Rhinolophus ferrumequinum: one gene and its partner. The protein of the gene in region 1 binds, or shares a complex with, the protein of each later gene. Links are inferred from orthologs where the notes say so. Each region holds a gene or a part of one and is shown in the gene's direction. Other genes may lie near its edges.

Region 1 (7,767 bases):
CCCCCTGTGATGTGAGGCTCCTGTGCAGGGCTGGGGAAGGGGACCGTGCCTGTCCCTGGAGACCAGGGACAGGCCCTCTGGCACTCATAGGTGTGAACGTGGCACACCAGGCACCCAGTTCCCCCACACTGCGCCCCTCCACGACCCTGGGGAGGGGACACTCAGCGTTCCTTTCGTCCCACATTCCCATGGGCTACTGGCTGGCCCCAGGGCACCAGGTTTCCTGGGAATGCCCCACACTGGAGCTTGACAACCTTTCTCATTTTTGCTAAACTTTTTTCATCTGCCGAGGCCCTTTCACCAGCAAACAGTATGTGTGAAGCATGCATGATGGTGGTATGAGAGTGGACTGGGGGAAGTCCTGGCTGCTCCCCCAACAGGCTGTAACCACAAGGGCCACCACAGGGGAGAGGAGATGACACCAGTGCTGAGCCGATGCCAGGCACAGTGAACAGCAGTGAGCGGCCTTTTTATGAAGCAAACATCACCAGGAGGGCCCTGCAGCCTACGAAAGGCCAAGGCTCCAGGAGACACAGCTGGCCCCTCAGATTCCAGCCTTGGAAAACAAATTCCCACCTCAGCCAAAAATAAAACTCCCAGATCGGACAAGATCGATGGCCCCCTCCCTCTCCTCCTTACCCGTTCCCCACCTCTCTCCTTCCTCTTCCCCTCCAACTTCTGCCCCATTCTCGCCTCCATTCTGCCTTCCTCCCCAGGCCCCCTCATCCTCGCCCTTTTCCTCCTCTGCACGTTTCTTCACTCTTCCCCCCCATTTCTTATTCCTGCCACACACACATCAGAGGAGAAGCTCTGCCCAGAGCTGGATACCTACACTCTTCGCTCCCCCACTGGGGGTTGTGGGATGCTTTACAGGTGGCCCAGTGCTGTGTAACCTGGTTCCTATGTGGCTGCACCGTGGAATCGCCTGAGCAGCCTTTTAAAAGGACTGGTTCTGGGCCCCTCTCAAAGCCTGTTGGGGACCACAGGACAGTGAGGACTGACTTGATGGGGCCTCCTCCATCCCTGAAGAGGGAGCTAGAGGCAGAGGCAGGAATGAGAACTGCCTGTCCTAGAGCACTAGCCCACTACAGGCCAAGCTCAGTTTACAGATAAAGAGGACAAGACTCAGAGAGGTTAACTAACTTGCCCCAACTCACACAGCCCCTGAGAAGTTAAGCCATACTCAAGCTTAGAGGCCCTAACTGCAAAACCAGGGAGGGCTCCTCCCAGCTCACCTCCCCTTGTCTGGAACCTAGAAAATCTCCCCCAAGGGCCCAGGGGAAAGGACAGGCCTGGCCCATGGCCTGAGTGGTTGTAGGGTCTGTGGGGAGAGCTCCAGGCAAAGGAAAATGGGAGGAATGTAGCAGGGACAGGTGGGGGGAGGGAGTCACACACCAGAAGGTCTGGGGCTGCTGCTTGCTGCTCCGAGGGAAACCGCCCACCCTCCCCCTGCTCTTCCTGAAGGGTGTTTGGGGCCTATGCCTGGTGTCAGGTTCCTGGCCCTGCACCACAGCTGTCGCCCCCATCCCCAGGGGCCGCTGCTTTCCAGAGCTGGAGGATCTGATCCCTCACAGCCCCCCTTCCTACCCCAGGGGATGGGACCTCTTGCTCAGAGCATCTCTCTCCAGACACTAGGCCCCCAGCAAGCTGAGGTCCACACTCCATTCTACAGGGGAGGGGGAAGGAGTTACCCAGGGGGAAAATTTCCAAGAATAAAGTAACTCCTCAAAGGAGGAGGAAGGGCCTGGAGGACACTTTGGGAGACCCCTCACCTCCACCCCAAGGTGGGAGGGGTACACTCACTTCTACAGACTGCCTGTGTTCAGGGCTACTTTCCCCCACACTCAGAACCTTACCTCCCAGTTGCTTCTACCCCTAGTCTTTCTCAGCTCACTCTCCCATGGGCACAGGGCCATGTTGTACAGAAAGCTCCAGTTGGGCATGTAGGTGGAGATATCTCTCTCTCTCTCTCTCTCTCTCTCTCTCTATCTCTCTCTCTCTGTCTCTCCCCCCTCCCCCTCCCTCCCTCCCTCACACACACACACTCTGGTCCCCCACAAGGCACTTACCCACACAGTAGATTAAACAAAGCTGGGCTATGTTGACACCTGGGAAAGGAAAGTGTTGGTCCCGGCCCATCCCAATCAGCAATAAGGCCCAGTAGAAGGTACTGGCGGGTGGCCCCAACTTTGGGACCAGACCTATTATGTGGTTTTCTAGCTAAGGGGCCCTATGCAAGTCATCACCACTCTGGCCTCAGTTTCCCCATGTGTGCAATGCAGAGAATGGTCAGGGAGTAGCCTTCCTCAAATGGACCAAGGTTAGGGGAAGAGAAGGGGCAGCAAAATGAGGACCCCCCCCACACACACACAAATACAGCATCTTCAGGAAGAGTCCCAGGTTGTGTCTATTACAGAGGCTTCCAATGGCCTCCCCTCTGTCCTTCGGTCCATATGCGCATGGCCCCCAGAGATCCCTATTAAACCCGTCTCACCCCAAATACAGACACCTACCATCATGGCACGGGACAGGAAGATGCAGAATGGCAGGGCACACCCACAGGGCATTGGGAAGCCTTCCTGGGGAGGGGTGTTGGTGCCAATCCTGGAAGGAAGGGTGAGTCAGCTTAGCCAGAGATAGCAGGAAGAGAATTCCTGGCGGAACAGAGTGTCAGCAAAGACAGGGATGTAAGAGTGCAAGGGGGTGGGGGATACACCCAAGATACTGCCCAAGCCCTAGGTGAATTAAGCATTCAGATGTCTTAGCGTTGGAAAGGTGCCCACCTGCTAGGTGTAATAAAAAAACAAAGGCAATATTGAACCATAAGTATAAGGAACGCCCACAATGTTCTGATTTTCCATATGCTTTTTTGAAACATCAAATATCCAACTCATGCAGATACTGGAAGCGTGCCTTCAGCCAGCCCACTGAGCAATCCAGCTCCAAGAAGCCTGGGTCAGGGCTGCAGAGTGGAGGCTTTGCAGGCCAGACTGAGGGACTGGGCTCTGGGCAGTAGTCAGGGAGCCCATCCAGCTCTGGGCAGAGGAATGGCCCAGTGAACACTGAATCACAGGCTTTGGCCCTGGCTGTTCTAAGGTGATAATCAAGAGCCCCCAAGTACTTAGCGACTTGTAAGCCTCAATTATTTCATCTGTAAAGTGGGGGTAATAATAGTGGCTAAGTAAAAGAGTTACTAGGATTAAATGAAATAATGTCTGTAAAGTGATACGTAGTACGCACTGTTATTCACTCAACAAATACATATTGAGTGCCTACTATATGCCAGGTAGTTCTAGGCCCTGGCACATTAAATACACCACTGTACAAAACAAAGCTCTTAGTTTGGAGTGGCTGTAAGATTGGGCTTGGTACACTTGAAACCTGTGTAACTATACTAACCATTGTCACCCCATTAAACTTCAATTTAAAAAAAAAAAATTGGGTTTGGGAGCCACACTGCCTAGGGTTGAATTATTAGCTCTGTGACCCTGAGTGAGGTACTTAACCTCCCTGTGCCTCAGCTCCCTTATGTGTAAAATGAGTAATAGTATAACCTCATAGGCTTGTGTGACGGTTGAGTGAGGTAACGCAGTCAAGGTGCCTAGAACAGGGCCTGGCTCAGTAAGTGTTAGGTAGTGGTGTTACTAAAAGGCGGGGCCTCCCCATCTCCTCCCCATTGCCTGGGAGGCTCAGGACCCCAAGCCCGCGAGGCTGGGCAGTAGCGCCCCCTCCTGGCTACCGGGAGACGGAAGGGAGTCCTCCTGATACTCCAGCGACCCTCCTTGCCCTTTTGCTCCCTCCCGGGTTTGCCCAGAGCTTCTCTGTGGCAGGCTCTGTGTGCGCATTTTATTTACTGGGCGGGTAAATTCGATCGTCTCATCTAATTCTCAAGCAGCTCTCTGAGACAGACACGGTTACTGTTTCCATTTCACCAAAGTGGAAAGGGAGGCTCCTGGGGATCGAGTCCCTTGTCCTGTGTCACGCAGAGAGGGAGCGGTGGGACGAAAAGCCAGGCGGGTCTGACTGTCCCCAGCCTCACTCAGCCTGGTCGCTGGGGAGCCCGCCCCAATCACTGCGGCGTGCGCGGACCGGTGTGCGCGCCTGTTCTGTGCCAGTGTGCGCGTCGGGAGACCAGCCCTCGAGGACAAGGAGCAGGGTAGGGGTGGACTAGGAGCAGGGTAGGAAAAGGAGGGGTGGATGGGGGAAGGAGGGGTGGCCCCCGCGGGGCGCGCGGGCGGGGCTTGTGCGGGCCCCTGCCCCGCCCACAGGCCCCGCCCGCCTGGCTGCGGGGGGGGGGAGGAGGCGGCGGCTCTGTGCACCGGGACTCGGCGGGCGGCGAGGAGCGCGGAGCAGCAGCCGGAGCCGGACACCACCGCCGCCACCGCCACCTGCGCGGCCGTCATCAAGGTAGGGCGGCCCCGCGCCACGAGCCGTGCCTTCTCGGTCTGCGCGCTGTGTGCGTGCTGCGCCTCCTGGCTGTAGCACCCCAGGAGGGATGCTAGGGCAGGGCGCGCCGCGGGGGACCCAGCAGAGCGCGGGGGACCTGGCTTCTAGCCCCTACGCGTGACCTTGCACAAAGCACTGTTCTCCAGGCCTCAGTTTCCTCATTGGGATGGAGGGTGCAATAGTGGGCCCCTTCCTCGCTGGGCTGCGGGGAGGGGCCGCCCCAAGGTCCATGTTCCCGAGGGCAGGGGCCCGGATGGGCACAATCTGCACCGCCCACCCCTCCCGCATGCAGTAAGGGCCGCTCACCCTGGGTGTGGCGAGTCGGTCGCGACAGGCCCCCTTGTGGCCTGAGTGTCCCGCGGGACCCGTGTTGGGACTCTCCCCCTCTTAGCTGGGTGACCTGCTGGCCCTAGAAACAGGACAGGGGACATCTCCAGGTCTCTATGGAGCCAGCTTGGGCATGCAGGGTGAGACCGTCAGAGTCTGCCCGCCAAGTCGGCCTCCCGTTCTGGAGCTGGGGGAGCCCTGAGGTGAAAGTGGTGGGGCCCTCAGCCTCAGACTTGCCTGGACCAGACCCATGCAGGCACCTGGATTTAGGGAATGGTACGGGAAGTCCCTTAAATTTCAGGTGCTGGCACCTAGCTCTGTGCCCCAGCGGGTGTGATAGGGCTGGCTCACGTCTATGTGTGGATCCCAGAGGCGACCCCAGTGCCAAAAGCACTGTGTGTCTGAGTTGGGGTGGGTCTGGAACAGCGCACATGTCTGAGGGACTATGGCTTCCTGCTCTCTGGATAAAGACCCCTGGCATCTGGGCCAGCCCCTCAGTAGCATTCCTTCTGGAAGGTCTTACTGCCCCATTGCACACCCCTTATGATGGGGATCTCATTAGCTGTAAACAGCTGGAATCCGCGGGCCCTGCTCTGGGCACACAGACATCTGACCCCTCCTCCGCCACCCAGAGGCAATCACCTGGTCCCATAAATCTCACCTCCAAGCTGAACACCTCCAGGCCTAGCACTGTTTCTCCTGCTGGAGCAAAAGGGAGCAAAGGCAGGATGGGGGAGCTTGGATGTCTGCCCCCGAGTGGGCAGTAATCAGCCTGGGGCTTGTTCAGAACCCCTTGCATCAGGACCAGAATGTGTCCCTGTGCCTCCTGCACTTCCTGTGCACCTTTGGCTTAGCAGCTGCCTTACAGGTCTCAAGTGAGGAGGAGCCAGAGGAGTCCTTCTCCTGTTGCAGGCCCTGACTGAGAACGAAGTCTGGGCCTTCCGGTCTCTCGTCCCCTTCATGACCTGCCCCTCTCCCTGGAGCTTTCTTAAAGCCAAAAGAAAATCGGGGCCACCTGGGCAGGTAGTGAGCTCTGTGTCAACAGAGATATGCAAGCAGAGGCTAGATGAGCACTTGCTCAGGGTGAGCTACCTTTGGCCGCAAGTCTGGGATCCTAAGCGCTGAAGTAGACTGTCCATGACCTTGTCTTTTGGCCATGGTGGAGCTGCACAGAACTTGGAACTAGACCACAAATGAGTGGTATTATCCCCTCATAAAAGCAGACTAAGTATATGTGCTGTCACTCGAGCAGAGCTCCGATGCACAGGCTTAAGTACTTCCTAAGTCTCCTGTCATCTCTACGTGTGTATTATCTGGGCCCTGTTTTTCTGCTCGGCTAGTCCAAGCCATTTTGGCGTGGTTTAGGGGCAGGGCAGATTCTGGTAATTGAAAAGTCATCCCATGCTAATAATTTTAAAATGTGCCATGGAATTATGGAATGTCCAAGCTGAAAGGGATCTTAAGAAATCATCTCATCCAACCTCCTCATTTTATAGACAGGCATCCCCTATCTCTAAAGGGGATGTGACTTGTCAAAGGTCATAAAGCAAACCAGCAACCAAGCCCAGGGATCCTGATTCTAAGACGTGTGTGTGTGTGTATGTGTGTTTGAAAACACATACCATATAGTAAATGAAAGTGGTCTGTATTTATTCCTATAAAATTAGCAAAAATAAATTAAAAGGATAAACCTCTATGCTGGCAAGGCTGTAGGGATTCTCCAGTGGCATTTAATTTTGTAGTGCAACCTGGCATCTCGTGACAAAAGTCCACAAAAATTATCTTAACTGTCCTTTGCCCCTAGCCTTCTAACTTTGAGTACTTTCCCATAAGGAAGTGAGAGAAAGAGAGTAGTGCTATTATTTATAAGAAGTTGTCTTATAGTGAAGCAGCTCTTGGTGTTTTATCTGAGGATTAATAAACATTTCATGTGAAAATTACAGCTTAAAAAAAACAGTGGCACTAAAGCATAGTAGTGTGGCCCATAGTAGAAAGGCCCTGAGACTAAAGTCAGCAGACATAGATTCCAGGATGAACTCTTCCTCTGCCCCACTCTGCGACCATAGATGACTCCCTTGCCCTTTCTGTACCTCACTTTCCCCATCTGTGACATGGGGTAATTTCAGTGATTGCTGGATTTTTTTCAATTCTGACAACCCATGTTCTAGACTTAGCAAACTTCTTTTAACTGAAGTCTTTATTGGAAGGAGCAGTGAACACAAAGATAATCAAAGAATGTTCTAGCGTCCCTCTACCATCACCAAATGAATCCCCTTAGAAGCAGGCAGCTAGCCTTTTTCCCCTGAAAAGAGATTTTGTTCAGCCTTTGACCTTTGTTATTTCCAAATGGCCAGAACCTGGATTATTTTAGAGCGTAGCATGTTTTTGTTTTTATTTTCTCTACCATATGGAGACAGAGACTTTTTCAGGAGGACTGGAAAATAATTCAGCACGATCCTCTATTTATTATTTGAAGTCTACAATCTGTGCCTTGCCTCCTTCAGACAGATAGAAGGTGCTTTGCAATTCCACCTAGTATGAAGGGCCAGGAGTACATGACTTCATCACTGTGGACAAAAACATATTGGGCACTTACTGTGTACTAGGCCTTGAGATCCTGGGGGCCTGCAGGCTGCCATGGGAAACATATTAGGTTAAACTATGTGAAATGGCCAATATCTGGCTGCTTTTGACTTACAAGAAATGGCAATTTCATTTGACTGAGCCTAAATGGAAAAAGATAATTAAAAAGCAGTGTGTTCCTTACCATAATTGAGAGATTGGCAGGGTGTGGTGGGGGCTAGGAAACTGTGATTGTGAGATTGGAGAAGTCAAGGAAAAAGGTCGTGGGAGCCTCACCTTGAAAATTCAATAATTGAGAATTAAAAAATAATAATAATAGCTAACATTTATTGAGTACTTACCACCTGCCTTATTCTGTCCTAAGTGCTTTACATTGTTCATTTAGTCACTCAACCACTCACTTATTAAGCA
Region 2 (7,686 bases), on another chromosome or scaffold:
GAGAGGATATGGGGCCTGCAGCCACTGGCATTGCCAAGGTAGATCCAAGACTTGCCTTGGGTTCTGGGAGTGAGGTTGAGGTCTTCCACTCATCAACTTCCTCGGTCTTTTGTGCCCCCAGAATGTGTGGGCTGTGTTGGATCTGTACGGGCCAGTTCGGAGTGTGTCTATTGTTAGCTCCACGAGGCTGGAGGAGCCAGAAGGCACCCAGCCTCCATCCCCCAGTTCAGACACCGGAAGTGAGGGCGAGGAGGACGACGACGAGGGCGAGGAGCATGGCCTGGGAGTAAGAGGCTGCGGCAGGGCCCTCTGGGCACATGGATGAGTGGTGGGTGGGCCATTGGCCACCAGGTCGTTTTGGGGTTCTCTGATCCTGTGCTGGATGGGCAGAAGCTTATGTGCAAGCTCTGTGTGAGCTTGCCACTCCACTTGGATGACTTGGGCCTCACCTGGGCAAACCCAGTAGCTCAGTCTCTCCTCCATACCAGGGCCAAGATCAAGTGACTATTATGCCTACAGCCCTCGAGTTCCTGGAAAACCATGGGAAGAATATCCTCTTGTCCAATGGGAACCGTACAGCTACACGGGTGGCCAGCTACAATCAGGGCATTGTTGTCATCAGCCAGCCCCTAGTGCCCCAGCTTCTGGTCCAGGTGGGCCTCACCTCCTTATCCCCAGCAATTCGCTCAGGTGACCCAGGGCCAATCCTCTTGGAGCATGGCTTTTCCAGGTTGAGGACATAGTGGAAGGCAAGCCCCTTGGATGAGCTTCCTGGGCTTTTGTTCATACTTTGTGGTGAGAGTTGCTGGTCGGTAACCAGTAAGCGCCCACCTGATGACTGTAGCGAGGGAAACAGGAGGGGAGAGCTGGGGGAGTCCAGGGAAGCCACCAGGTCCTATATGTGGGCGCAGGGAGGGCTTTCCAGAGGAGGGGTCTTTCTACTGCAAGTTAAGAGATGTTAGTGTTCGCCAGGGGAAGGAAGTCACTAGGGACAAGAATCCTTACAGAGTCAACAACAAAACCAAGGCTGAAAGAGGGGAAGAAACAACTGAATTTGCAGTTTCCAGGCCTTCAAGCATCAGAAGGGGCAGCATCCCAGGCCACACTCTGGGAGGTGTCATCTTCCCTCCCTGGCTGGGGTGAGGAGCATAGGTCTGCTGGGTGGGTGGCCTCTTCCTAAGAGGCCATGACTGGGGAATAGTTGCCTTCTTCCCCAGGTGCGGATAGATTTCCTGAACCGGCAGTGGACATCTTCCCTTGTCCTGGGAGTCATCACCTGCCCACCTGAGAGGCTCAACTTCCCTGCTTCTGCCTGTGCCCTCAAACGGGCAGCCTGGCTGCTCCGGGGCCATGGGGTCTTCCACAATGGCCTCAAGGTGGGTAGGGAGCAGAGAGACGGGCGGGGTCCTGAGCTCTGGAGGTAGGATCACAGGTATAAAGGGGCCCTGTAGTGGGTGGGCTCACACGAGGCTGTGAGTGTCATTACCTGGACAGTCGGGCTTACTGCCTCTTATCGCCCTGCCGTTGAGAACGTTGCAGTGGTAGGAAAGAGGAGGCGAAGTCTAGGTCATTGAAGCAGTGGGTGGGGCCCAGGCAGTAGGCAAGTATGAAAGCAAAGCCCAGGGACTGGTGACCTGAAACAGGGTGAAGGGCGGGGGTGGCTGCTTCTGGTGGGAGTCTGATCTCTGGGAAGACAGTAGGTCTTTTTTCCTCCTAGATCTGTGAGAAGTTTGGGCCAAATTTGGACACATGTCCTGAAGGCACCATCCTGGGACTGCGGCTAGACAGCTCTGGGGGACTGCACCTCCTTGTCAATGGAATGGACCAGGGGGTGGCTGTGCCAGATGTCCCCCAGCCCTGCCATGCGCTTGTGGACCTCTATGGGCAGTGTGAGCAGGTTAGTGGCCATGGAGGTGGGGAGGAGGGGGTGCCTGGGAGATGGCTGTCCGAGTAAAGCGGAGGTCTGTGGGCCAAGGAGGGGCTCAGCAGGCCCTGGAGGCTGACCACCCCTCTTTTCTGCAGGTGACAATTGTGAACCCTGAACCAGGGGCTGCCAGTGGGAAGAGTGTTGGAACCCAAGGGGACATGGAGAAAGCCGACATGGTGGATGGTGAGCCAGTCCAAAGGGACCAGGATCCTACCCCACCCCACCGCATACTTCTAGCCCCATTTCTGGTCACCTGTGCCCCCTCTGTTCCTTCAGGGATCAAGGAGAGTGTGTGTTGGGGTCCACCGCCTGCTGCCAGCCCTCTCAAGAGTTGCGAGTACCATGCTCTTTGCTCCCGTTTCCAAGAACTGCTGCTGCTTCCTGGTGAGTTCCCAGCCCCCCAGAACTTGCCTCATTCCCTGGCCCAGTGTAGGGCCATGCCCAGATTCCTGGGGACCAGTTGGAAGAAGGCTGTGTGGTTGAGATGCAGGGTGGGAGCCACAGCACCAAGTACCACTCATTCTCCCACAGAGGATTATTTCATGCCTCCACCGAAACGTAGCCTGTGCTACTGTGAGTCTTGCCGGAAGCTGCGAGGGGATGAGGCCCACAGGCGCCGTGGGGAGCCTCCCCGGGAATACGCCCTGCCCTTTGGCTGGTGCAGGTTCAACCTCAGGTATGGATGGGACAGAGTCATGTGTGTCTCCCTTACTGTTCTTGAGAAAGGAGGGTCCCAAGAGGGTGCGTGGAAGAAGTGACAGAACTTTTATCTAGGGGATGACCTTGGGGAGCCCGTGACCTTTGTCCTTTCTGCCCACCTAGGGTGAATCCCCGCCTGGAGGCTGGGACACTAACCAAGAAGTGGCACATGGCGTATCATGGGAGCAACGTGGCAGCTGTCCGGAGGGTGCTGGACCGAGGAGAGCTGGGAGCAGGTACCGTAGCTCCAGCAGTCAAGGCAGGCTGGGCCTGTGGGCTGCAGCAGGCCTACCCTGACCCCGCTCTCCTCACAGGCACTGCCTCCATCCTGAGCTGCCGGCCCTTGAAGGGAGACCCTGCGGGAGGGTTTGAGGAGCCTGGTGAGAACTGCGCACCTTCTCGGGAGGAGCAGCCCCCTGCAGTGCTGCTTTCTCCCTCCCTCCAATATGCTGGGGCTGAGACCCTGGCATCCAAAGTGCAGTGAGTACACGGGAGGGGGCCCCAGGGCCACTTGGGTCTCCATGATTTGCCTTCCCTTTCCCTACCTGGTTTTGCTAGTTCCTCAGTTTCCAGCCCATCCCTTTCCTCACACATTCCTTGAATAAATGCCACTTCTTTCATGCTATCAGTGAACAAAAAAGGGAACCTTGCTCTTGTATAACTTACATTTTTCTCTGTAGAATGTTTATGCGTAATATTCAGTATATTTAAAGGTGACAAGTGATATTATGGAAACAGAAAAAGTGGAGTGGGGTAAATGGATCAAATGTGCAGTTGGAGCAGGTCTATTAAATAGGGTAGTCAGGGTAGACATCAAGGTGAGATTTGAGCAGACTGGAGAAGGAGGTGACGGAGTTAGCTGAGGCGGCATTGGGAGGAGAACCATTTGGAACAGAGAGAAGAGCTAGAGCCAACTCCCTACAAGGTGGGAGTGATTCCTAGGAACAGGGAGGCTAGTGCAGTGGTTGCAGTTAGCAAGGGGAAGACGTGACAGGCCAGAGGCCTCACTGCCCTATTTCTACTTCTTGCCTGACAGATTCCGGGACCCCAAATCCCAGCGGACACACCAGGCCCAGGTGGCATTCCAGGTGTGTGTGCGCCCTGGCTCCTATACCCCTGGCCCTCCTTCTGCTGCCCTCAGAGAACCTCCTGACCCTCACTTCAGCCTAGCCGAACTTGAATGGGTAACCAAGGAGAAGGGGGCCACACTCCTCTATGCCCTGCTGGTACGGGTAGAATGAAGGGTGAGACCTCACTACTACAAGCACAGTTGGGCCACGGGCCCATGGACTCTTGAGTGATGACTGCCTTCACCTCATTCCAGTGACCCACGGCATGCACGGTGCTCAGTCTGGCGGATGCACAAGAGTATGTAGGCAGACTCTGAGATTTAGATGGGAGTGGAGCACACCTCCACATCCAGGGCCCTTGAACACTCTCTGAGGTGAGGGAGCTTGTGAGGAGCCCGGCTCCAGGCCCTGGGTAACCCCTCCTCGTGCACTGATTTGGGGAACACGACTCCCTATGACTCCCTCCCCTGTATCACTTAATTTATTTCCGTTTTGTTCCTCATTACTGTGAATCCCAGAGGAGTCTCCCTGTGCCCCCCATGAAGCTGCTTTTTCCAGGAGCCACCGGGCGGGAGCCACCGGGCGGGAGCGGGGAAGGTGGGGCCCTCTGTACAGTTGTTATGACTCTGATTTCTAAGGAGCCAATAAACACGGTCTCAAAGCACCCGCCTCGCCTGTCTCTCACGCGCCCCTCGGGGATCGTCCCCGACCGGCCCAGTCAGGGACCCACGGGGTAACCACTGCTAGCTCTGAGCGTCTCGCGGCTGGCGCCAGGCCAGGAAGCAGCGCCCGGGGGTGGACGGCGCGGGGCCGGCGTAGCGGAGGGCTTTGGACGTCACAGGCACCCGTCCGCTTCGCTTCCGGCTTTTCCTCCCCGCCCAATCCGCGAGGGCTACAGCTCTGACCCCGGAAGGATTCATTCCAGTTGCCGGATGTGACGCATTGGCCAAAGTGCGCAGTAGGCCGCGGAGAAAGCGTAGAGAAGGCGGGTAGGAAGGTGCTGGCGCCCGGGCTGCCGGGGAGAGGACGCGAGTGTCGAGACCTGGGACCCCTGCCCCGCCCGCACGCGCGTACGCGCCGAAGCCGAGGCGGGTGAACGGGCCAGGCCGGGCGGCAGGCGCCGGACACGTGATCGGGGCGGCGAGCGGGCTTCCGCCTTCGCGGACCCGGCGCGATCCACCCTGAGCGCCCGCCTTCTCGCAGGCCTGGTCCGAGGTCTGGCAGTCTGCAGCAGAGCCGGGCACCCACAGTTCAAGCGTCCCCAGCAGCACCATGCCTGCGCTCCTGGAGCGCCCCAAGCTTTCCAACGCCATGGCAAGGGCGTTGCACCGGCACATCATGATGGAGCGGGAGCGCAAGCGGCAAGGTGAGTTGGGGCCAAAGCGGGAGGACAGTCGCCCAGGGCGGCACCGCTATCCCAGGGCTGACCCCCATCCCCGGGCAGACCAGTACACCGGCGGCCGAAGCTAAAGGAGGGGTGCAACAGTCCTGTTGTGGTGGGAGTTTAAATCGCCGTTTCTAAACTGTAAAACGCTTCAGCTGGGAAGGACCTTGGAGAGCACCTAATGAAACGTCCCTCTCCCTTTACCCTATTGCAGTGGTGGGAGAGGCCTGCCCTCTCAAGAGCAGAAAGGAGCACTGGGATAACCAGTTTTCGCTGGTCTTCAATCCCTAACGTTCTAATTATTTTAACCACCCCGCCACTTCACCATTTTGCCTAACTCTTCTCCAGAGGAAGAAGAGGTGGACAAGATGATGGAACAGAAGATGAAAGAAGAGCAGGAGAGAAGGAAGAAAAAGGAGATGGAGGAGAGAATGTCACTAGAGGAGACCAAAGAACAAGTATGTAGTCCCTTGATTTCTCCCAGTTCTTTCTTCCTTTGGCTCTCCTGCCTTTATCTCCTCTCCCCTTCTTTCTCAGATCCTGAAGTTGCAAGAGAAGCTTTTGGCCCTACAGGAAGAGAAGCACCAGCTTTTCCTGCAGCTCAAGAAAGTTTTACATGAGGAAGAAAAACGGAGGCGAAAGGAGCAGAGGTGGGATTTAAGAGCTAAAATTAAAATTGGGGGCAAAGTATAACTGGGATCACGTAACAAAAGATCAGTGTTTAATGGCAAAAGAGGGGGCACTTCTCCTTGATTTTGACCGGTCTTTCTTTCACTCCAGTGACCTGACCACTCTGACGTCAGCTGCATACCCACAGGGCCTGACTGTTCACACAGGAACTCATCTCCTCAGTATGCAAGGTGAGGATTAAAGAAACCACTGGTCCGAATGGGCCCTCCTAGGACTTGTAGACTCCCATTTCAGCATCACGAAGCCCCTCTTCCTCTCTAGGGAGCCCTGGAGGACACACTCGCCCAGGTACCCTCATGGCAGCTGACAGAGCCAAACAGATGTTCGGACCCCAAGTGCTTACAGTAAGAGTAGGATTGGGTGTCTGGCCCATTTTTCCACTACTACTTCCACCCAGACCCAAGCACCCTTACTAAACCAATATTCAAGTCATGAGTGTAACATAGATTTAACTGTATAGAGAAAAATGGAGCATACACAAATCAGTTGCTACTTTCAAGGAGTTTCCAGATAGTAAGGTGTCATCCTCCCTCTTTAGACCCGGCACTATGTGGGCTCAGCAGCTGCTTTCGCAGGGACCCCAGAGCATGGGCAATTCCAAGGCAGCCCAGGCGGTGCCTATGGGACTGCTCAGCCCCCACCTCACTATGGACCCACTCAACCCGCCTATAGTCCTAGTCAGCAGCTCAGAGGTGAGTGGTGGAAAAAGGTGGGGTGGGAGGGCGGGGAGACACTTTCCTCAAGGCCCAGAGGGAGTAGTATTTGTTGTAAACAGACTAAAAGGAGGTATTAATGGCTGTGCCTCCTGCCTTTCTCAGCACCGTCAGCGTTTCCTGCAGTACAGTACCTGTCTCAGCCACAGCCACAGCCCTATGCCGTGCACAGCCACTTTCAGCCCACTCAGACAGGTGATTATACCCCATGCAGGGGACCTAGTTCCATGGGTCCTCCCTTCCCCATTCACTAACTCATTTCACACACCCTTCTTCCCTACTTAGGGTTCCTCCAGCCTGGCAGTGCTCTGTCCTTACAAAAGCAAATGGAACATGCTAACCAGCAAACTGGCTTCTCTGACTCAGTGAGTGTGGAGCCTTGGGAGGTCAGGGGAAGGGCTATGCTAAGGGGAGCCCCAGGCTGCCTCAGGTCTTGATTCTGTTCTCTGCAGTCCTCCCTGCGCCCCATGCATCCCCAAGCTCTGCATCCAGCCCCTGGGCTCCTTGCCTCCCCCCAGCTCCCCGTGCAGATGCAACCAGCAGGAAAGGTAAGGATGGTAATCATACCTGTCACAATCCTTACACTATGGGAGAAAACAGGATTGGGTAGGACAGGTGGCCCAGTCCTGTTTTTTCCCCCTTCTTCCTTTGGGGTGATTCTAAGGGTGTAAGGAAGGGAAGAGCATGCACACTGACAAAACCCTTCTTCCACCACCACCAGTCAAGCTTTGCAGCTACCAGCCAACCGGGCCCTCGGCTCCCTTTCATCCAGCACAGCCAGAACACGCGATTCTACCACAAGTGACCATCAAATTTTATCATCAGCCTCACTCCCTACCCCCCACCATGGGCGAAGGTCCCCAGTGTGCTGTAGTAGTCCCAGGCCAATAAAATCTACCTGCCATTACCTTTGGCTGCTTGTTTGTGTTGCCTCCCACCTGGACTAGGCCAGGGCTGCTTGGATGGTGGGGGTGGCTAGCAAGTCCATTATAAATCAGTGGGACAGTGGGCTGTGATGAACTCAGCGACACAATTCAATCTATAATCTATTTCTGGTTTTCAAATTTACCTTTTAAGTCAGCAAATACCCATTTATTCAAAGAAGCATCCAAGTTGGGGCTTCATATTAAACTTGTAGTTTTATTCAGGTTTGATTTTAACAAATGTGTCGGGGAGAGAGCCCACAGGAAAGGGTGATGCCCA

What was found. The genes of interacting proteins can lie anywhere in the genome.
Region 2: CORO2A (region 1) and GPS2 share a complex: the UniProt entries of both Homo sapiens proteins name them as parts of the N-Cor repressor complex. The link is inferred for Rhinolophus ferrumequinum from reciprocal best matches to the Homo sapiens genes CORO2A and GPS2.

The regions. Positions count from the first base shown.
Region 1 is NC_046295.1:54,548,619-54,556,385, reverse strand, and holds the start of CORO2A (coronin-2A), read left to right. Parts: upstream 1-4,294; 5' UTR 4,295-4,407; intron 4,408-7,767.
Region 2 is NC_046304.1:11,527,006-11,534,691, forward strand, and holds the start of GPS2 (G protein pathway suppressor 2), read left to right. Parts: upstream 1-4,629; 5' UTR 4,630-4,968; coding exon 4,969-5,062; intron 5,063-5,428; coding exon 5,429-5,538; intron 5,539-5,617; coding exon 5,618-5,730; intron 5,731-5,860; coding exon 5,861-5,940; intron 5,941-6,031; coding exon 6,032-6,120; intron 6,121-6,308; coding exon 6,309-6,462; intron 6,463-6,588; coding exon 6,589-6,678; intron 6,679-6,768; coding exon 6,769-6,848; intron 6,849-6,935; coding exon 6,936-7,031; intron 7,032-7,204; coding exon 7,205-7,288; 3' UTR 7,289-7,686. Other genes in the region: NEURL4 (neuralized-like protein 4), read left to right, coding at 1-38, 122-286, 489-653, 1,218-1,376, 1,718-1,897, 2,023-2,110, 2,204-2,311, 2,459-2,603 and 3 more. UniProt on the Homo sapiens protein: Key regulator of inflammation, lipid metabolism and mitochondrion homeostasis that acts by inhibiting the activity of the ubiquitin-conjugating enzyme UBE2N/Ubc13, thereby inhibiting 'Lys-63'-linked ubiquitination.